Linked DNA regions of Notamacropus eugenii. The protein of the gene in region 1 interacts with the protein of each later gene in a biochemical or structural test. Links are inferred from orthologs where the notes say so. Each region holds a gene or a part of one and is shown in the gene's direction. Other genes may lie near its edges.

What was found.
Region 2: the proteins of PBX1 (region 1) and HOXB1 are reported together in a solved structure, tested with the Homo sapiens proteins (2 studies listed by BioGRID and IntAct, with this or other methods). The link is inferred for Notamacropus eugenii from reciprocal best matches to the Homo sapiens genes PBX1 and HOXB1.
Region 3: the proteins of PBX1 (region 1) and PKNOX1 form a complex in vitro, tested with the Homo sapiens proteins (2 studies listed by BioGRID). The link is inferred for Notamacropus eugenii from reciprocal best matches to the Homo sapiens genes PBX1 and PKNOX1.

Annotation. Positions count from the first base shown.
Region 1 is NC_092873.1:482,285,159-482,292,141, reverse strand, and holds the start of PBX1 (pre-B-cell leukemia transcription factor 1), read left to right. Parts: upstream 1-3,968; 5' UTR 3,969-4,060; exon of another isoform or gene 4,061-4,240; 5' UTR 4,241-4,337; coding exon 4,338-4,528; intron 4,529-6,983. UniProt on the Homo sapiens protein: Transcription factor which binds the DNA sequence 5'-TGATTGAT-3' as part of a heterodimer with HOX proteins such as HOXA1, HOXA5, HOXB7 and HOXB8. Binds to the DNA sequence 5'-TGATTGAC-3' in complex with a nuclear factor which is not a class I HOX protein.
Region 2 is NC_092873.1:352,501,165-352,508,119, forward strand, and holds the start of HOXB1 (homeobox protein Hox-B1), read left to right. Parts: upstream 1-3,866; 5' UTR 3,867-4,299; coding exon 4,300-4,864; intron 4,865-5,609; coding exon 5,610-5,941; 3' UTR 5,942-6,955. UniProt on the Homo sapiens protein: Sequence-specific transcription factor which is part of a developmental regulatory system that provides cells with specific positional identities on the anterior-posterior axis. Acts on the anterior body structures.
Region 3 is NC_092876.1:415,902,360-415,910,287, reverse strand, and holds the start of PKNOX1 (homeobox protein PKNOX1), read left to right. Parts: upstream 1-4,887; 5' UTR 4,888-4,989; intron 4,990-7,928. UniProt on the Homo sapiens protein: Activates transcription in the presence of PBX1A and HOXA1.

The DNA of each region.
Region 1 (6,983 bases):
TTATTCACTTAGTTCACTGGAAAAAGTCAGCACCCTGAACTTCAGAGAATACAGAGAAACAAAAATCAACAGACAAGATTTCCAACTGTCTGATCATAAGCAATATGTACATCACGGATCAACAGACAGCTCAAACTGTCTGACCATAAATACATAGTTACTAGAGAGAAAAGCACCAACATCTGGATTTTCAAAGCCAGGTGGCTTCTTAGCAGCTACCCAGAGTCTCATCTGGCCAAACAAACACTTTCATTGAGTAAGTCCCAAAACAAAACCTCACCTCAGACTATTTATATACCTTTCAGAGCTGGAGGGCAGGACCCTCTGACCCAGTGCCTCAATAGAAATTAACAAAAGGTATAGAGGCCTATTAATGGCTGAGAAAGATCTTTAACTCTTTTTCCTACCCATCATTAACCTTCAATCACCAGTTCAATGAGGAAACCAAAGATCAGAGAACTTGGTTGACTTCCCCTTCATGGGAATTCCTGCAATTCCCACATGGTAGAGTTCAGATTCAAGTCTGGGTCCTTTAATTCTAAATATCTCACAGTCTTCACTGCACCATGTTGGAAGGGACCATATTTTTAGACCTACCAAAATCTAATGGATTTAGAGATGGAAGGGACCATGGAGGAAATTGTGTCCAAATCCTTTATTTTATAGATGAAGGAACTGACAATCAGAAATATGAAGTAACATGTTCAAGGTCACACAACTAGTAAACATCTGAGTTAGAATTTGAACCTAGGTCTTTCTGAAAATGAATATTCCCAATAGAAATTCACCAGTCAGGTATTCAAAGACCTTCATTATCTGGTTCAAATGTTTCTTTCCAGGTTTATGATCAACTACTCTCCATCACAAGTTCTGTGCTTTACTCACTGGTGCATTCTTTCTAGTCTCTTGGACTTTTTGTGGCTCATTCTCCCTGCCTGGAATGTTGTTTCTTCCTACCCCCAATTCACCCATCTTACAAGATCCCACCTCTCCAATGACTGTTTCATTGACCTTCCAACTGGAAGCAGTCATCTCTTTGTATTGTCACCTATACTTCCCCAGAGATTCCTATATTTTGAACTATCCCTATGGCACATTGTACACAAAGCTTGGTAATTGCATGCATGGTTCATAGTTTATGTCTTACCTTGAATTATAAACTCTTCAAATGAAGGTGCTATGTATCCTCCACATCACTAAGCACAGTTCTTTGCAGGATGATGATGATGATGATGATGATGATGATGATGATGATGATGATGATGATGATGCAGCAGATAGGTGGTACTGTGGATAGTGTGCCAGAGCTGGAACCAGGAAGACTCATCTTCCTGAGTCCAAATCTTGCCTCTGACACTTACTAGTTGTGTGATCCTGGGCAAGTCACTTAACTTTCTTTGTCTCAGTTTCCTCATCTGTGAAATGAGCTGGAGAATGAAATGGCAAACCATTCCAGTATCTTTGTCAAGAAAACCCCAAATGGGGTTATAAAGAGTCAGAAAGAATTGAACAAAATTATTTTTATTTAAAAATAAATTAAGTAATAATGGCACAATTATTTTGCTGAATAGAGGGAATCAAGTGGTATAGTAGAAAAAAAGTAGTTTGGGAGACAAATGATCTCTATTCGAGTTACAGTTATTTTACTTGAATATGAGAAGAATCTATGATGTTATCCATGTAGGGGAACTCAGGTACCATGTAGCTGGCAAAGTGGATACAATCCTGGGTCTGGAGGAAGAAGGACCTGAGTTCAAATCCAACTCTAAGATACTTAGTAGCTCTGTGTCCCTGGGCAAGTCACTTGACCTTTGTCTGCCTCAGTTTCCTCATCCTTACAATGGGGATAATAATAGCACCTGCTTCTCAGGGTTGCTGTGAGGATTAAAGAATATAATGGAGCTATTATGGCATGATTACATTATAGTGAGGCTTAAGTGCCATTATAACTTGAAGTTCTTAGTCTTAACCTTATTTTCTTTAGATTCAGGCTAATTTATTTGGGCTGGACTTTGGGTCTGTTTTAAATTGCATGACTGCATATTATCACTATGATAACTATATTATATGAAAGTATATTATTATGGTTTAGCTTTTCACTAGGATTTGATTCTTAAAAGAACTTATAAATCAGTATATACATGTTAATAAAATAGTCATTAATAATATGACTTTGTAATTACAAATCATATTCATGCCCTTATGCCATTGTCCTGTCCTGTCAAGCAGCCTGTTAAAAGCTGCTCAGGAATGCCTTAATAATTACCCACTTCACTTATCTTGCCAAACTTGTTTTGTGCTAATGAGTGGGAAGGAGACTGGGTAATGGGTTGATGCTAAGAATAACATTTTTCATCTGATGATCTCAAAGCACCTAGCAAGTGCTACTTGGCAGCAATTCTTATCTTTTGCTGATAAGGAAACTAAGACTTTGGGTGGCTAAATTACTTTCCTGTTATTCTCCCTGACATTTAGGGAAAGAGCCACTCAATCTGCCCTCCTCTTTCCAGTCCATAGTTACGTTTTTCAGGACTACATTTAAAAATACTTAAGACTAGACTCTCAGTACTTATTTCTTTGTTTCTTACTAATAGTTATTAAGCATTTGGTGGAATGAATAAAGTCCCGTAGTTGGGAGTGAAAGGATTTTGATTCAATTCTTGGCTTCAGTATTTACCAGCTGGGTCACATGGGGAAAATTATTTTATCATTTTTTCCCCTGCCATAAATGAATATACTGTTTGCATTATTCCGCTCAGAGATTTTTTGAGGAAAGTACTTTGTAAACCTACAATACAAAGTGCCACTTAAATGTGTGCCATGAGAGTCTAACTCTAAGAAGTAATTTTCCAGTAGTGGGGAGGAGGGAAGTATGGATGGGGTAAAAAAGTTGAATTTTTCTTGACACAGTTCTCCTTGTTAAAATTTGTGCTGCTTCAGCATTATTTAGTTTTATTGTGCTTAATTTACTTCTGATGCAACCAGCCTATTGTTTGTTATTGTGAATCAATCCTCAGTGAATTTGATTTTGTCCATCTGGCTATTTAGAATGGCTATTCGTTCTTTTTGCTTCGTTCAGTGTTGTCACACTAGCGTCCTAAGGAATCCCTCCGGATTCCGAGGATGTAGCAGAAGCGAGTTTTAAAGCAGTATGGCTGAGAGGTGATGGGGGAGTGGGGGACCATTCCCTAAGAGAGTCCAGAATCTTTTCACTCTGCTTTGATCGGCTTGCAGTTAAGTAAAAGTCACGCACGTCCTTTCCACGGGTAACCTGAACCTGGTAAAACCTGCGTCTTCTAGAAGGAGGATAAGTGGAAACTGCCTAATTGAATTGGAGCTATCAGACGAGTGGCACCTTTAAGGACCGGAGATTTGGTTGTAAGCTCGGCCTCCTTTACAGCCCACCTCTGAACTCTGATTGACAGAGTGCTGGGTGAGGAGGAGGAGAAGGAGGCCGAGAAGGAGGTGATGTGAGGAAAGTAGGGAGGAGGAGGGGCTCGTCTTTTCTCAGATGGCCAATCAGGGCCGGGGGGCGGGGAACCAGTCTCCCTCCTCCCCTCCTTCTCTCCTCCTCTAGCCTCCCAGCTTCCCCGCCTCCCCCCCCCCCCTCCCCGCTTTCCCTCCACCCCCCCACTCCTCCTTCTCCTCCTCCTCCTCCTCTCCGGCTGTGGTTTTCTGTGTCAGTTTCAGGAGTCCTGAGCCTGAGCTAAACAAAAGCTGGAGGCAGAAGGGGCTGTTGGAGTTTGCAGAGACACGGAGAGGAAGGGAGGCTCTCTCTGCTTTGCCTGCTGCCGCTGCTGGGGGAGATCTGGCTTTTGCAACAGCCCACCCCCTTTGAGATCACTCTGGCTGGGGGTGGGGGTGGGGGGTGGCGGGGGGTGGGGGGGAAAGTTTGCATTGCAATCCCCCAGCCTTCCTCTTTTTTCTCCAGATCAATGCATATTTGCAAAAGGATTAAGCCACAGATTTAAGCTCCGAGAGCCCATTTCTGCTTTGCAAAGGAGCCGGGACTAAAAACAACCCAAAATTCAGCTCTGATTTCTTTTTACCAAGTGGGAAGGTGGTTTATTTTTCTTGCTTTTTGGAGTCAACACCCTTCCTCATCAGCCCTCATCCCCACCCTCACCCTGCAACCCTTTCACGCCCCCCCCTTTCCTCTCCCCACTCCCCATCCTCCCACCATCCTCTAAAAGAGGCAAAGGGATTTTTTTTTGGTCTCCCCCCCTTTTATTCTGAAAAGGATTTGGAGACAGCTTGAACGATAAAAAGCCTTGGTAGTTCCAAGGAGCCGAGCAGAGGAGAAGAGGAGGAAACAGGGGCTGCTGTTGCCTTTGGAGATGGATGATCAGCCCAGGTTGATGCATTCCCATGCTGGGGTGGGGATGGCAGGACACCCCGGCCTGTCCCAACACTTGCAGGATGGGGCTGGAGGGACCGAGGGGGAGGGAGGGAGAAAGCAGGACATTGGAGACATTTTACAGCAAATTATGACCATCACAGACCAGAGTTTGGACGAGGCGCAGGCCAGGTGAGATTGAGGCTTTTCTTTTCCATTTCTTGGGTGGTTTTATTTGTTTGTTTATTTTTTTTTCTTCGGGGAGGGGGCGTGGGGAACAATGGGATTTGAATCACTACAGCGCATTCTTTTTCGGGTTATTTCTTTTCTCGTTTTGTGGAGCAACTACATGGCGGAGGAGTAAGATTTGCAGGAGCGTTGTTATTGGAAGTGTAATCGCCCATGCCGTGATGTGTCTGTATACATATTATATGTGTGTATGTATATGAACACATAAACCGAGGCACGCAGATAATGTTGCCAGCTGATCACACCACGGCCCTCAGCACTTTTTACTGCCGTAAAAAAAAAGTCACACACAGAAGGCAGAATTGTCAAGTTTGGAACAGCATTCCCCATCTTCCTGTGGGGTCCCCCCCACATTACAGGACAACATGTCCCAAGAACACTTTTATTTGCTGAATTATAAGTTGTCTAATTCAGATCTTTTCGATTTTCTTTAATGACTCAAGGGAGGAAAAAAAAATTCTAATTTCCATGTTCTCTTTTCCTTCCCTTCCCCCCACGACCTCCCTTCTGTGTGTGGAACAGGGTATTTCTTTGTCAGTAGTTGTCAGCTATCCAGAGAATATTTTGCATATACTTAATGCTCTCTCTTTAGGGGGAAAAATGGGCCGTGGAAAGGAGAAAAATGGAATTTTGCTCGTAGATCTGTTGATCAGCTTTCTAAGACTCAAGAAAAAAATCACTTGGGTTTTGAATTCTAATTTGGGTCAGTTTCCTAAACTACACTGACATAAATCAGTTATGTATGTTCCTCAAAAAAAAAAAAAAATAGGCACAGAAATAAAGATTGCTTTTGCCTTTTCCTCCTTCAGGAGCACCTGAAGGTAGGATGCTAGAAATCATAACTGAGACCGTGGTTGGTTTATCTCTATGTCGACTCCACGAAGCTTGAGGATGTTCCTTGAGGAAATATAATGAACAAAAGTGCAGTTTTTCAACTTAAACCAGTGCCAAGGAATGAATATTTCTTACTTTGGCATTTTAGGAAAGTGGATTTCAAAATAAAAATACAGAATGCCCAATAACTCAGACCAAAAGCTTTCCCTTCCCAAACTCTTGGGGGTGAAAAACATAATATAAAGAAGTCTAATTTCCACTTAAGTCTATGGGGTTGTCCAGCCTTGAAAAGCAGAATCAATCACAGAAGTATTATTAATTTTTTTAAACTTTGGAAACCTTTGAAGAATTTTTCTTTAAAAATAAATAAAGAAGAAGAGCGAACCTCAAATGACTTGGTTATTTTGAGACTTTATTACATGATGTTTTGAGAAAGTGAGAATTTTGAAATGATAGCTGGAGAAAAATCAGCAAAAAGCATGGATTGAATGAATTACTGTATTATTTTAGGTGGAAGCACATGCAACACGTAACTCAGAAGTGGGGGGATGAAGAGGCTGTTGAAAAGTTGGGAAGGTTTAAGGACCCTTTTCCAAATATAAAAGAAGTGATGGGTGGGGGGGTTGTAGTTCTCTAGAATTCATTGATGCCTTTTATAATTTTATGATCTGAAGAAAAGATTATAGGGGTGGCAAGAGTTCTCACTAGCATTTATACTCTGAGCTGGGACAAATTGTTTCATTACATTGTTTCAGAAAAACACACATACCAATAAACTACTTTATTAAGTTTGAGGTGGGGAAGAAAGGAGATGAGTGGATACTATATACATCATGTATGTGTGTGTGTGTGTGTGTGTGTGTGTGTGTGTGTGTATGAATGTAAGTAACTAGGGGAAAACTAGTGAAAAACTCATCTTGGAGTTCACCACTTTGAATAAACTTAAATAGTGCAAGAGAGATTAGACCTGCTGTTGGGATGGAATATAAAGATCCCTCTCCCCATCTCCCTCCCCCACCCCAATCAAATAGGCACGGTATGTAAATGCCAACTCTTTAAAACTGCATTTATTTTTTTTTGTATTCAGATACATGTAGAATTAAAAAAAAATTGATAGAAACAAATGAAAAGGCATTGATACCTACAGAAAAATACACTCACTTTTTCCCTTCCCTTCACCCCCTACCAAGAAAAGGTTGTTGAAATTGTCACCTTACCACTTCCTCCTTGGTTGCTAAGCATAAGGAGTGTCTTTAGTAAATAGTATAAATTGTGTCCACTTTTCCTTTTTCTCTTTCATTCTTTGAGCAAGGGCATTTATTATTTATGAAATAGGTCGAATAGGTAGTATATGTTTTAGGTACAAAGGCATATGCTCATTTGGATACTTTCACGGTCTGACTGTAGGACTTCTTTACAGTGAATATACAACGTGCTTCTGGGGTTCTTTCCCCTAGAAGGAAAGAGTTGATTTAATTGCATATCTATTTTTTAACTTTCAAAGGGATTAAAAAAAATAGCATGTGTTTTGAGTGCCAGAGGCTTACATTAATCTTTACGTGTT
Region 2 (6,955 bases), about 130 Mb from region 1:
AGAGAGCTCAGACCAAAGGAGAGTTAGGCCAGAAATCATTGTGGCTGGGATTACTCTAGCCTGTGTCAATTATGTTTGATAGATGAGTAAAATCTCAAAGTTTCTTCTAGATAGTCTCACAGAACTCCAAATCTAGAAGTGACATTAGAAATATGTCTCATTTCACAGAGGGAGAAACCAAGGCCCAGAGACAGGGAATCACTTTTTCCAGGACACACAATTCCTAAGGTAAGAACCACCACTATAATTCGGTTTTCAGGAGATCCAACTCAGGCCTATCTCCACTGTTCCATGATACATAGGGATTGAAATAATAGACTTTCTATTCCTACTGCAACTATCTTGGTTCAGGTCCTCTATACTTATCACTTAGTCTTACACTGTTCCAATAGCCTTCTAACTGGTGTCCCTGCCTTTAGAGTCCTCAGTTATTAAAAAAAGATAATTGCTATTCTTTTTTTATATACTGTTACCCTGGAAAACATATTGGTTTTTCTCTACCCAAAACAAATCGACCTTTTTCAATTCATCTTTCATATTACTGTGTGGCTAATTTTTTAAAAATTAAACTGCTCTCTAGAGGGGTTTTTTCTACTTTCAGGTCCTCAAGCTGTCTCTAGTAGTGTCATGTGGTGGCCTGGGCTCACCTCACCAAAGAAGGCCCTCCCACCTTGGGAAAAAGTGGGAGAGACATTTGTGTTATATTAATTTAATTGACCCAAACTGGTATTTCTAGGTTTTTTCTCCTGAACCTCAAGGTCCTGTTTTCAAAACTCTGCTGGACATTTACTCAGATGTGACACAGGCAATCCCAGTTCAATATGTCTAAAAACAAACCATCTTTCCCCAAACCTGACCAATTTCTTAACTTCTTTATTGCCATGTACCCATACCTTCTACCTCTGCCCCCTACTTCCAATTCATACCTCACGTTGCCAGTGGATATGACATACCCTTCCTCAAAATCTTTCGTTGACTTTCAAGAGGAATTGACCATAAGGGAAAATATAAGCCTGGCATTCAAGACCAACACAATTTGGCTCCAACTTACTTTCCAGTCTTATCTCACACTGCTCCTTTTCGTGTACTGTCTTCTCATGCCAGACTGGAATACTTACCCTGTTCTCACCCTTTCTTTTTTTAGTTTTGTTTAAGGAGTCTTCCCCACTTAGAATAGACTCCCTTCTACCACACAGATGCAGCTTCTATTGAGATCTGACCCTTTCTTCAAATGTCTCTGTTCCCCTCCTCAGAGTTAGTGCCGACCCCTTGAAGAAGCCTTCTCCAATTCCTCCCCATGGAAGAGAGCTTTCCTGTAGTACTCTTTCTTTTATGCACTTGTGTATTATAGTTATTTGTGTCTCCCTCCACCCTCATTCCAATGGAATTACAAGCTCCTTGAGGGCAGACACCCATTTAGTGTTTTATTTTTTTATTCTTTGTGCTTAGTCCAATAACCTAAAGAAAAAGTTTGTTTAATTGGATTGAGGAAGGTGCTAGGGCTTCCCAGAAACTAGGCACAGCAAAGACAAAACTAAGTTAGGGCAGAAGGGAGATAATGTGGAGTGAGAAGAGACATCAGAACTGTCCCCCATCCATTCTAAGGAAAGTACTAAAATGGGAGAAATCTTTGGAGTATCATAAAAACAAATGAGCTGTTTTAGGGAGGAAAGTGCTGCTACTCCACTCCACCTTGCTCTTTCTATTTCTTCTTTTCCTCTCCCGATTCTTCTCTCTGCCCCATTCTCCCTTTGTTTTGTTCCTTCATTTCCCTCTCTCTCTTTTTCCACAGCAGTGACCACAGTCTTTTCCCCCTCCCCCATCAAATCTCTCTCTTTAGCAAAGTTCCAGCTGTGTCCTCCCTTCCCCCACAATCCTATGTCCTGGGGCTTAAAATTGTGTTTATGTTTCTTTGGGGAAAAGGGGATATATATGAGGGAAATAGAAAGCCCTTCTTAATTCTTTGATGGTCTGCTTTCTTCAAGGATATGGTAGTGAGTTTTATTATGATTAGGGAAGAATCCAACATGAATGAGAAATGGTCAGATTTGAAGAACTTTGAAGGGATTCCATTCATCCATTTACACACACACACACACACACACACACACACACACACATTTTAGAACCAAGACAAACTGATGATAACCCAAGGACAATTACTTTGGAATGCCTTCAAGGGATGAACTGGGTCCCCTTTCCTACAACAGAGTTGGCTCATCCGTATAGCAGAAAGTACTTCTTTTACTCAAATACTCCACCCTAAGTTTTCTGAGTCCTGTAAGGTAGGGGTAAGTAATGGGTTCTTAGTTGAATTTAAAAAGAAGTCATCAAAACAAAGAGAAACTGTTTTCACCCAGACAAAAAACCAGAGCACAGATTTCTTTGCAGAGATACAAATCTGTCTTCCACCTTTCTTTGTGGGGAATTTCACTTGGTATTGTATTTAGTCATGAGTTTATGACTTCTAAATACACCCAGGAAAATAGCATGGGTCTCTAAATGCTGAATTGAACTTAACGGTGACAAGGAGGCTGAAGAGGGACTGGGTACCTTCCAGAGACATCTCATTCTTACCTCCCTTCCTCTCCTGAGACAGACTTGGCACTTTTAGTGGTTACTGGGTTAATGTGCTTGTTTACTGAGTATCCCCCTGAACTCTTGGCCTCCCAAAGCTACCCGGGTCGTGGCTGCAGGCCCAGCAGACACCCTGACAAGTAACAAATGAATGTAGGCGGTGGATTGTTCTGAGCCTTGTCTGCCTTGTCTGGAGGAGGAGAACCAATGGAGTCTACCTGAGAGGGCTTATTCTTGTCCTAAGGAGGTAAGTGTAGAAGACTGCTGATTCTGCCCCAACTGCAATTCCAACAGAGATATCAGGAAATCAAGACAGTCGGTTCCCCCATCAGACGTGGGTAAGAGTTTCAGGGATTGTTAGGACACCAGCCCTCAAATCTAGTGATCCTTTTATCCCCATCTTTTTCTCTTTTTCTGCTCTGGAAAATGGGTAAATGATCTGTACAAATGTTCAGAAATTTCGCCACTATTGAGTTTGATAAGTGCACTTGTGGGTGGTTTGTTTGTTTTGGTTGGGGACTGAGGACATAGAAGGAATGATGTGTAGTCGACATCGGCTTCATTCACCAGACATTGACTCAACAGTACCAATTCACTTTGCCCCATGTACACACAACCTCAGTCTCCATTTCCAAAGAAAAGCTCTCCAGAGAGTGAGATGAGAAGGGTTATTTCAGTCTGAAAAGTCAGCAAGATCATTACAGCTATGGATGGCTAGCTAAAGTATAAATACATCTAGAAAGATGAATTGATGGAGAGGTAAAGAGAGACTATAAATATGGAGGGAGATGGACGAATAGAGAGATGGATTGAGACAGAGAGGATATAAAGACAGGCTGCAAGAAGAATAGATGGATGGATGACGAGGGAGAGAACGTCTATATGTAGAGAGGAAAAGTGAAATGACTCAGCAGCTCCTTTTTAATAGTCTTTATATCTATAGTGTTCTACCACTAAAAAAGTCCTGTTCCTCTGACTGATTTAATGAACTCTTCCTGATACAAGACGATGCCTCTCCCTTTCAATCTATCTTTACATTCCCCCAGTCCCCCGGGGTTCCCCCCTTTTGACCCTAGATAATCACACTCATTCACTCACCTACTCACCCACACACCCTCACACTGATCACCCAGTGACAAATTGGGAGAAGAACCGGGTGGAATAGTCCCAAACGATGCTGTATTCCCTACCTCTGTTCCTGTAGTCCCAGAACGGAGCCTCCTTTGGGGGCTGGGGGGAAGGGCTGGGGGGCAGCTGGGAACTGAGTTAGCCAAATCTAATAACTCAGGGCCTCTTTAAGACTTGGGGGGTGGGGTGAGGAGGGGGAGACTCTTGAATATTCTTGGAACTTTCCTCCCCCCCTTTTCCCTGGCTCCTTCTTTCCCAAAGTCTTTGAAGAAAGATGTTTTTGACGCTTTGGTGTCCCGCTCAGATGGATGGTTCCGGGCTTGATTGAAGTGTCTTTGTCATGCTAATGCCAAGGGGGTGATGGATGGGCGCCAGGGGCTGCCAAACTCTGGCCAGTGGCTGCCCATTGGCCTGAGAGGGATCACATGTGCCCTCCCCCATTCCCCTACCCCTTTCCCCTAGGGGAGCTCTGGGCTGGGAGAACCTGGGGACAGCCATGGACGGAAGTCTCAGAGCTTTGACATACTGCCTAAAGGTTGTAGGGCAAGAGGGTGTCTCCCCCAAATCGGGCTGACCCTCCTCCATCCTCAGCGCATGGACTATAATAGGATGAATTCCTTCTTGGAGTATGCACTCTGTAATCGAGGTCCTGGAGCCTACAGCTCCCCTACATCTTACCCTCCTTGTTCAAGTTCTCCCGGTGACAGCTATGGAGGGGAACCTCGTTATGGAAGTGGTCTCCCCAGCCCTGTCCTCCAGCAGAATCCAGGCTACCCCACACAGACTCCATCAGCACTGGGGGTCCCCTTCACCAACTCTTCACCCTCGGGATACACTGCACCCACCTGCAGCCCTGGCTATGGCCCCTCCCAATACTACTCCTTGGGCCAACATGATGGGGATGGGGGCTATTTTCAGCAGTCGGGGTATGGGAGCCAGCTGGGGAGCTTATCCGAGACTTATATTACAGGAGGGACTGGGGCAGGGCCCTACCCTCCGCCACAGCCCACTTATGGGACTGAGCAACCTTCGGCCTTCGGGCCATCCTATGGGGATCTTTTAGCGGAGGACAAGGAACCACCCTGCCCGTCGGAGCTGAGCATGCCCACCACCCAAACCTTTGACTGGATGAAGGTCAAACGAAACCCTCCAAAGACAGGTAAGCTAGGGCTTGGGGGACTGTAGTGGGCAGGCAAGGGAGAGCAACTTCCCAGCCAAATTTTGAGTTTCAATTGAAGAATGTTTGGTGTTCTGAGGCATTTACAGTTTTCCCTGACGTATAATTCTACTTTTCAGAGCAGCAGATAAGGGAAGTAGCCAGTAGACTTTCATGTCCTTCTTTCTCATCCCAGCCCAATTTAGTTTGGGTCTTAGTGGGGATAAAGTTAGAAGCTCCCAATGTGACCTCTTTGGGGCTTCTTCCCCATCCTCTATTATTTTCTACTTCAGTCTTCGTGGTAGGTTCTCCCCCCTCCACCCTGCCTTACTCCCTCTCCCTCCAACACTCTCTTATGTCTCAATTCTGGCCAAAGCAGAGAGGCCTAGATGGACTCTCTTGTTCCCCAGGAGCTAGGGGTGGCGTGGCGTGGATGAGATGATTTGCTGTATGTAGCAGGAAGACTAGGGACTGATCTGGGGAGAAGGCCATGGGGAATCTTGGGCTGGAAAATTGGAGATGAGAAAGATTCAAAATGGTGAACTGGAGGTGGAAGCCTGTCGCTGGAGGTGGGTGAAAGAACGGTGCAGAGAGAAAGAAGGCGAGAGGGAGAAGGAGAGAGGGAGGGAGAAGAGTATACAGAAGAGGAGAAGTGGTGGAAAGGAAAAACTTAGGGGTGATGGATGGGCAGATGGGATAACAACTATTCTGACTTTATTTTCCCGAACACCACCCACCTTTCCCATAGCAAAAGTTTCAGATATGGGCTTGGGCCCAGCGGGTGGCATTCGCACCAACTTCACAACGCGGCAGCTGACTGAGCTGGAGAAGGAATTCCATTTCAACAAGTACTTGAGCCGGGCCCGACGGGTGGAAATTGCCGCCACACTAGAGCTCAATGAGACGCAGGTCAAAATTTGGTTCCAGAACCGGCGGATGAAGCAGAAGAAACGAGAACGGGAGGGAGGACTGGCCCCTGCAGTGCCCCCGGGCTCCAACAAGGAAGCTGCAGGAGATGCTTCCTCCGACCAGTCCGCTTGCACCTCCCCAGAAGCTTCACCTAACTCGGTCAACTCCTGAACTAACCACAGAACCCAAGGGATTGTTCCTGGTTGGCGTCTGTCTCCCCTCATCCAGAGTCCTCAAAATATCCCCTAATGGGCTCTCTACTTCCTGCGGCCCCAGGGCATCTCCACCCCAGCCCTTGAATGCCGGTGTCCCCAAGATACTTTGTAGGAGGCCTCGACTGTTCTCTCTAGGGAACTATGTATGTATAGGGGCACAAGATAACAGGACGGGCGCTGACTGGGCTGGCATTCCTGGTCCCCTTCACTTCCACTGCCAGAAAGTTGGGGGCAATCAGGGATCTAGTGGCCTATCCCTAGCCTCACTGCCCTTTTCTCTCAGTTTCTCCCCTTGCTTGTTTCTTCAGATCAGTGCCTTTGAGCTGCGAGGACTCAGTCTCTCTTCTTTCCTTTCTTCTCTCTTTGCTTGGCTTGCCACTCACAAGACAGATGAATATTTGTGGATCCTGGGGTCGATTTTGGGGTGTGGATTAGTAGTATTCTTGTGAGTATCTCTAAAGTGGACACTATTAACGCTAGTTGCCTTGTGACAGACCAAAAAAAAAAAAAAAATCTTTCAGACCTGATCTATAACTCTTTCCCAGTTCAAGTCCTTGTCTCCCTCCCTCACACCCTCATTTTGCACTAATGCTGTGGACACAGGCTCCCTCCTCTCCCTAACCCCAAACCCCAGCCCCCTCTTGCCCTAATCCCCAGCTTACATATTTTCTTACTTGAAACTGAAAAGAAATGTGTAACGCAAGGTCTGGATCTGGTCCCTCAATTCCCACCTAGAGAAGTGTCATGCTGCCTCTCAAAGCAAGTAGACGCCTGCAGCGCTCCTTCCTTATTTATTGAGTACTCTAACCCCAGGACATTCTTTCTCAGACTTTTGGAAAATGAGGGGAAACAGGGGATATTGTGACATTACTTAAATAAGACTTAAAGAGACACCCTCAAACCAAAATAGAAAGGAAAAAGAGCCAGATAAAAGCAGATGGTATTTTAGGATTGAAATTCAACTCTGTAA
Region 3 (7,928 bases), on another chromosome or scaffold:
GAGACAAAAGAATGACTCCAGAACATCATAAAAAATACAACTTGGGCAAAATAATAATTATTATAGCTGACTTTTAAATAGCACCTACTATGTGTCCAGGGGAGAACTAGCACCATTGGGGTGAGAGATTACTGAGCCCTATTCAGAGCTGCTCCTCTACCTTTGGTGTCCACCTTTTTCACCCAACTCTTACTTGTGGCTCTAAGAACCTGTAGCTTGCTAACCAGTTACACCGAATAAAACCATTTTGGCAAATGAGCTAAAGCAGGTTGAGGGTAACCAACAAATGTCAGACCTGGCGGTGAGTTAGAGGGATGTCTGCTCCAAGCATATGAAGACTTCTTCCTGGAAGAATGGGTAGAAGGGAACAATTTGTTCCAGCAACCATGAAGGCAGCTAAAGTAGGCACTGTGGGGAACACAGAACTTGGTCAGATATCACAAACACCAAAGTCATTCACTGCATCCTGGGCCATCGTTAGTCTTCCTGACCTTTGCCTTGCCATTGGACTTCAATGACTCAGGAAAAGAGAATAAAGCTGAACTCTTCCACACTTAAGTCCAATTCATGCACAAGTCAAGACATGGCCATTATGTTTTTGGTCCTCTTTGAAAATGAAGGAGGAGCAACTATGTGCCAGGCACTGTGCTAAGTGCTGTGTAATTATTATCTCATATGATCCTCACAACCATAGGTGATAGATGTTATTATAATCTTCATTTTACAGATGGGGAAGCTGGGGTAAGTAGAGGTTAATTGACTTGTCCAAAGTCAAATAGCTGGTAAGTATCTGAGCCTGGATTTGAACTCAGTTATTCCTGACTCCAGTGTTTGGTAAATACAAAGTCTCTAGTTACTAGGGGAAAGACTCACTATTTGATAAAAACTACTGGGAAAATGGGATAGCATTCTGGCACTTATTAGGTTTAGACCAACCACTTATACTATATAACAAGTTGGGATCCAAATGGATACATGACCTAGATAAAAAGTTACAATATAAACAAATCAGAGGAACAAGGAAGAAATTACTTTTTAGATTCATGTGCAGGGGGAAAGTTTGTGACTAAATAAGTTGTCACAGAAGATACAATGGATAATTTTGAGTATATAACATTTAAAAGTTTATTTTTTAACAAATCTAGAAGGGAAGCAAGCAATTAGGAAAAAAATCTTTAACAAATAAAAGTCTTATATACGAGATACATAAAGAACTGATTCAAATTTATAAGACTAAGAGCCATTTCCCAATAGATAAAAGGTCAAAGTATGACCTGGCCATTTTCAAAGGAACAAATCCATCCTATCAATAAAATATAAAAAATATAAAAAATCATTAATAGAAAAATGCAAACTGAAGCAACTTTGATGTTTTGATTCACCTATCAGACTGGCAAAAATGATAAAAGAGGAAAATGGTGAATATTAGAGGGGTTGTTGGAAAATAGATATACTTGTACAAATAAAAGGATCAGATTATTTGATTTTTGTCAATCTTTATGCACTTGTTTAATGTTTTCTAGAAAAAAAACTATGCAAATGTCACAAAATTTAATTCATCTTACTTTTCCTCAGTTCAAACTGTAAAAGTATCAAAAATCACCTTCAATGCAAAACTAATGAATGTAAAAATGTTTTAGCAGGATTTGCTTCATATGATAATTAATTGCATTAATATATTTCCTGGGGCATATCTTGAATTAGTCCTCTTAATGAAGAATAATCAACAACGAAAATAATGATAACAACACTTGTGCAGCTATTCCAGAAGGCAATTTGCCCAGAAAGTTACCAGCCTGTTGTATGACCCTTCTATAACACAAGTTGGCCTATGCCCCAAAGAGTTCAAAGAAAGTGGAAAATGACCTATATGCACAAAAATAGCAGCTCTTTTTGTAATGGCACAGAACCAGAAACTAAGGGGGCATCCATTAATTGGAGAATGGCTGATCAAATTATAATATGTGAATGTAATGGAATACTACTGTGTTTTAAGAAATGTTAAAAAGGAAGTTTTCAGAAAAACTTGGGAAGATTTGTGCGAACTGAGGAGAATCAGGAGAATAATTTATGCAATAACAACATTGTAAAGATAAGCATTGCAAGATCTAAGAACTGTACTCAATGCAATGCCCAACCACTATTCCAGAGGACTCAACAGTGAAATGTGCTATCTACCTCCTGACGCAGAGGTGACGTACCCAGAGTGTAAAGTAAGATAAATCTTTTGAACATGACCAATGCATGAATTTGTTTTGCTCGAGTATGAATATTTATTATAAGGGTTTTTCTTTCTTTTTTCATGAGGTGGGGAGGTGGAAGGGAGAGAGATGAATTTTCATCGAGTGAAAATTTTTTAAAAAAATAATATCAATATATAAAGAAAATATATGTCCAACAAAAGCAGTGGTCATTGTGTTGGAGTAGATCCAGTATAGAGTTCAAGTTGAAGATCTGTTACCCATAAATGGTGATGTCCTTCAGGTTTGTTGTTTACTGGTAGTTTAGAAATACCGAAGAGGTTGCTAATAGAGATAAATAACCTCTCAGTCTGAAAATCCACAAAGAAAAGATCCAAATGGATAAAGAATGTCTATTGCCTAAGTTATGACGTTTTTATGAACAAACTACAAAGTTTGTCTATCATCATATATATCTGAAACATTGTTTTCATGGACAATTAATTACATAGGCTAAGAATTGAACAGGAAGAGGAGAGCAGTCTGTATAGTCTTTGAAAAATTGCAAAGCACCTTTAATGGTCCAAACTTCTCCTAAAAATAAAGTTTCTTCTTTTTAATACTAACATTCTATTAGTGTCGCTGCATGGAAATGAGATATTGGATAAACAGTTCCTGAATAATAACATTTTATTTATATAGCTTTTTAAGGCTTGCAAAGCACTTTATATTACAGTTGAAAATAAATATCACAAAAGGCAATGAAGAGACACATGGTAGATGTAAACACATAGCAACAAATGAAGAACTTCAAAGAGCAATAATAAAAATTGTCATCAAAGAAATGTGTGCTAGGGAAAGATAGTCACAAAGTGAGATCAAGCCATTCTTGGTGGAATAAGAGGGCTCCGCAGGTAATCTTTGTAGTACCATCAAGCCAAAGTAAAGATAGCTTCCCCCTTTTGGTGAATTTATGGAAGGACATAGATAAGTACTGAACAGGATGGGCAAGCATTTGTGTAATCTGCACCCCTGAAGAGAATTTCCAAATTAATGAGATCATACATCCATTTGAGCAACTGAGTTAACATAAAATATTACCTTTTCTTTCAAGAAAACCAACTTCACAATTACAAGCATAGAGATTAAGAGTTTCCATGCATTAGACAGCTAGATGGCACAGTGGATTGAGTGCTTGTCCTGAAATCAGGAAGATCTGAGTTTAAATTCTTAGACACACACTAGCTGTGTGACTCGGAGCAAGTCACTTAATCTCTGTTAGCCTTAGTTTCCTCAAATGTAAAATGGTAATAATATTAGCACTTACCTTCTAGGGGTATTGTGAGAACAGTAAAACATCTATGCTTAATATTTGCTAGTTTCTTTCATTATAAATCCAAAATGAATTTACAGTGTGACATGGAAGCAAAAAAAAAAAAAATCTAAAGATGAAGATAGTCCAATTATACTTTACTTTGCTCAAACCACACACAGAGTGTTTCTAGGTCCCACCATTTAGCTAACACATTTATGAGCTGGATGGTGAATGACCTTGAGTTAAAAACATATGAGAATTTACTGAAAGAACTGAGAAAGGCTTAGCATAATGAGAAGACTTAAAGTGGCTTGATAGCTGTTTTCAAGTATTTGAGCCTGTAAAACGTAATAGATTTATTTTTCTTGATTCCACTAGATAGATATAGGAATACTGGGCAGAAATTGTAAAGAGGAAAATTGAGGCTTCGGTAAGGAAACCTTTCCTAACAATTTAGTGTCATTCAAAAGTGGAACAGGTTGCATTCCCATGGGGTGCTGCTCTTCCTCAAAGGGAGGTCTTTAAGCAATGACTGAACCATGGGTCCTATAAATGAGATTCTTTTCTCAGGTACAGACCGGACAAGAGGGTCATCGAGGTCCCTTTCAATTCTCAATCTCTGAAAAAGAAATGTAGCCCAAAGTCGGAAAAGGAAGGTTTGCAAAGTTCCTTTCGATTTTTGTGGTGTTGTGCAAAATCCCCCGAGCGATCACTCTGCTGTCAATTCGAGCCTTTAATTTTTAAGGAATCTGCAATAATTTGTAAAACGTTACTAGGTTAGTATGCATTACACCTTGGGCTGGTAATGGGATAGAAGAAAACTAATCAATTCTTTCTAGACGGTGAAATTCTGCGTTGGGTGGGGGGGAAGCAGGGTCTTGGTAGCAGTCCCTCCTCCCTAGTCCCCTCCTCCAACCTGGAGGAAGCCTTCATCCACCCAAGGATCATCTTCCCTCTACAGTTTTGCACAAATGCACGCGAGTCAAGAGATTACGATTAGAGAAGGAAGGGCACAGTGGTGGTCGGATAAAAAAGGGCTGGGGGAGGACTTCCAGTACCTAACCAACAAACACATTTTCAAAACCTCCCGAACTTTGGCCAGAGGGAGAGTGGGCGTGGCCAAAGGCTCCTCCCTCCCTGCGCAGCAAAAAAAAGCTAGGGGTGTGGCCTGTTCCTCTTAAGCATGGAGGCGGAGGGGGGAGGGGCAGGAGGGCCCAGAGAGGAAAGGCTGCGTTCCGAACTCCCTCCCAGCCCGCCCCTTCTCCCAGAGTCCCCACCCCCTGAGCGCAGACTCACGGGGTGGGAGGAGCTTCCCCTGCGAGGGCCCCGCCTCTGCTTTGAATATTGATAAGGTGAGCGTCGGCGTAGCCCTCCTTCCATTGAATGAGGCTGTGTCGCGTGGCCCGGCGTCGGCGTGACGGTTGGACGCGGGTGCGGCACTGCGGGTCCCGATTGCTGCAGCCGCTTGTCAGTGTGATGAAGATTGGCACCCAGGTAAGCTGTCACTCAACCGCTCCGCCGCCGCCGCCGCCGCCGCCGCCGCTCTCCGCCGTCCCTATCAATCACACCGGCCTCCCCGCCGCCGCCCCACTGCTGCCGCCCAGGCCGTTCGTGGGGAGAAGAGATGCCACTAAGCCGCGCCCAAGGGCATGGAGCAGGGACGGGGCAGGGGAGGGGGCCGCGTTTGAATGCAGGAGGGACCGGAAAGGCGGGGGGAAGAGGAGGCCGAGGGAGGCGGCCCACCCTGCAGTCTGGAAAGGGTTTCCACGGTGTTGGTGTCCATACGTGAGACTAGGAAGGAGGAAATTTCTGGAAGGAGCCGCCGCGCTGGGCCCCGCTGCGAGGCGCGCGCTCCTAAACCGTCCCTGGTGGAGCACTGCGCGCGCTCCTGCACGGGGCGGGGACAAGGGGGAGGCGGCCGGCAGGGGAGGGGGCATGGGGAGGCGCGCTGGGCCGCGCCGCGGGGTGTGGAGCTCGGCGGGGGGGAGCCGGGGAGGGCGGAGGAGGGGACGAGGCAGCCGGGGTGGAAGCGGGCGGCCGCTGGTCGCCGCCTGCAGTCGCGCGGCCTTCGGCGGCTCAGCTGAGGGGTGCCCGGGCCCGGGGTGGGGGGGAGAGTCTTCTTGAAGGTGTTGGGGAGCAGAGCCGTTTAAAGGGACCGGTGGGGCGCTTTGCTCCATCCCCGCTACTTCCACCGACCCAGACTGGTGCAGCTTTTTCGGCTTTGGGGTTTTGGGGGCGCGGGGGAGAAGGAGGCTGGAGGACGGCGAGGGCAGCGGGGAGAAGAGAGGTTGTATAATGGTGGAAGGAAGAGTTGAAGATGGCGGCTCCTCCTGCTCTCAGGATGGGGGCAGGGAAATCCCTGGAAGAAGGAGTAGGGGGTGGGAAGCACCTCCCTGGCTGGGTGCGCCTGTTTGGGGTGGACTTCCCCACCCCACCCCCCTTCAGCTGTGGTAGTGGTTGCAAGCGAGAGTCGTATCTGGCAAGCAGCAGGCTTTCCGATCCTGGCCGTGGGACAGAGTTCAATTTCGTTTGGCTTTTCTGTGGCCTTCCCCCCCATTGAGCTTAAGCCACTGACTTCCACGTGCGCTGTCGTGGGATGTGCAGTTTCTTCCCATCTCTAAAACTTGGAACTGGATGGGAAGCTGGAGACCAGAATGCCGTTAATCACTACAATAATGAAAATATACCAAGCCCTTGAAGAATCGACCATAAACATGAACACTTGCTTCATGATATTTTCTCCCTATTTCCCAAATACTGTTTTTTTAACCGAGTCAGATCATTAAAAACAAAGAATAATTTTTTAAAGATCTGTACCTCGTGTCTTACACAAGTTAAAATGTACAATAGACCCCCCTTTAAGGCTTAGATCTTGGAATCCAGGGAATGTCACTCACTAGTCAATGGAAGCATAGAAGGCCTGAGAGGAAGGTTAATAGATCTTTAGTTATGATTCCAAATAGAATTTGGCAATTTTCGTCATCCTTATAAGGCTGACTCAGTTAAACATTTCAGAACCTGCCATTCAATAATAATAGCTGACATTCGCATACATTTTGTAAAGTTTGTGAAGTACTTTGTTTGGTTCTTAGACCTTATAACAACTCTGAACTAGGCACTTACGGGTATTTGTATCCCCTTTTTACAGGTCAGAAAACTGAACTCAGAGAGGTATAAGTGACTTGAGTTGCCCCTTAGTGCTAATAAATATGGCAGATAGGATTTTTTAAACCTTGAGTCTTCCTGACGCCAAGTTTAGCACTCTTTGGACATTTGTCTTTTCCAACCTTTCCAAGGCCAGACCCTCCACATTTGCCCTCAGAATCAGCATCCTTTTCTTCTTCAGCTGAATCTGGTCCCATTGTCATCCTTTAGCTCTCTAGTACTCACCTTACCTATTGATCTCTTTTCTACTCATTACAAACCTGCTAGCTTCAACTCTTATCTTTAACTCCTCTCTGGACTATATCAACCCTGCAAACTGTTAATCCTTTTTAACTTCTTGAAAAATCCGAACTCACTTACGCGCTGCCTTCACTTGAAGTCTTCTCACGTCTCAGTTTGTTAGTATCTCGTTCCCTAACTTGTCCATTCAACAGAAACTTAAAAGTCACAATCTTTTAATTTTGTGAATAATTTTATTGATGTCTTTTGTTTTAAAATTTGTTTACTGTATCCTTTCCCTCTCAGTGGCCTCCCTTACAGAGTAAGGATGGGGACTGCACTTACGATTCTCTCTACCACTGCAGGTTCTCATCTTTTCAGCAACTTAATATTAGTGAGTTGTGACTTTAATGAAAGAGAAGAAAGGAAAAAAATTTGTAAAACTAGGTATCATATCAAAAAGATTGGATATAAGCAGTATTCCACACTCATGGTCCCCTCCTTTGCTAAAATGTAAAAAAAAAAAAAATAGGAAAGGTGTCTTTACATAGGTGTTATTTGATAGCCAGGCTTGGTCGATTGTTCTTTCCGTTTCTATTGTCTTTGTTTATGTTGTTTTCCTGGTTCTTTCCATCCTTTTTTGAGAAGCAGCAGCTGTACTTTGCATCAGCTAGTGACTTCTAAATTTGCAAAATATGATGACACTATGTTGGTTCTTATCCTTCTCCAACTTCTTTACAGAGTTTGACACTGTTGACTATTATCTCCTCTTGGATACTATCTCCTCTCTAGGTTTTTGAGATGGTGTGTTCTCTGTCTCTGTGTCTTTCTTTTACTCTCCCTCTCTCTCCTCCCCACTATTGTTTTCTAATTTCATATGTTTGTCCTCCATAGCATTTCATAGGTTTCCCCCAAAACTGTATGCTAGGACTCTTTATATTTTTTCTGTTGGTGACCTCATTAGCTCCCATATATTCAATTATTTTTATAAAGAGGAGACCCAGATCTAGATTATGTAGCCCTTAGTCTTTTTTTCAAGCTCCAGGTCA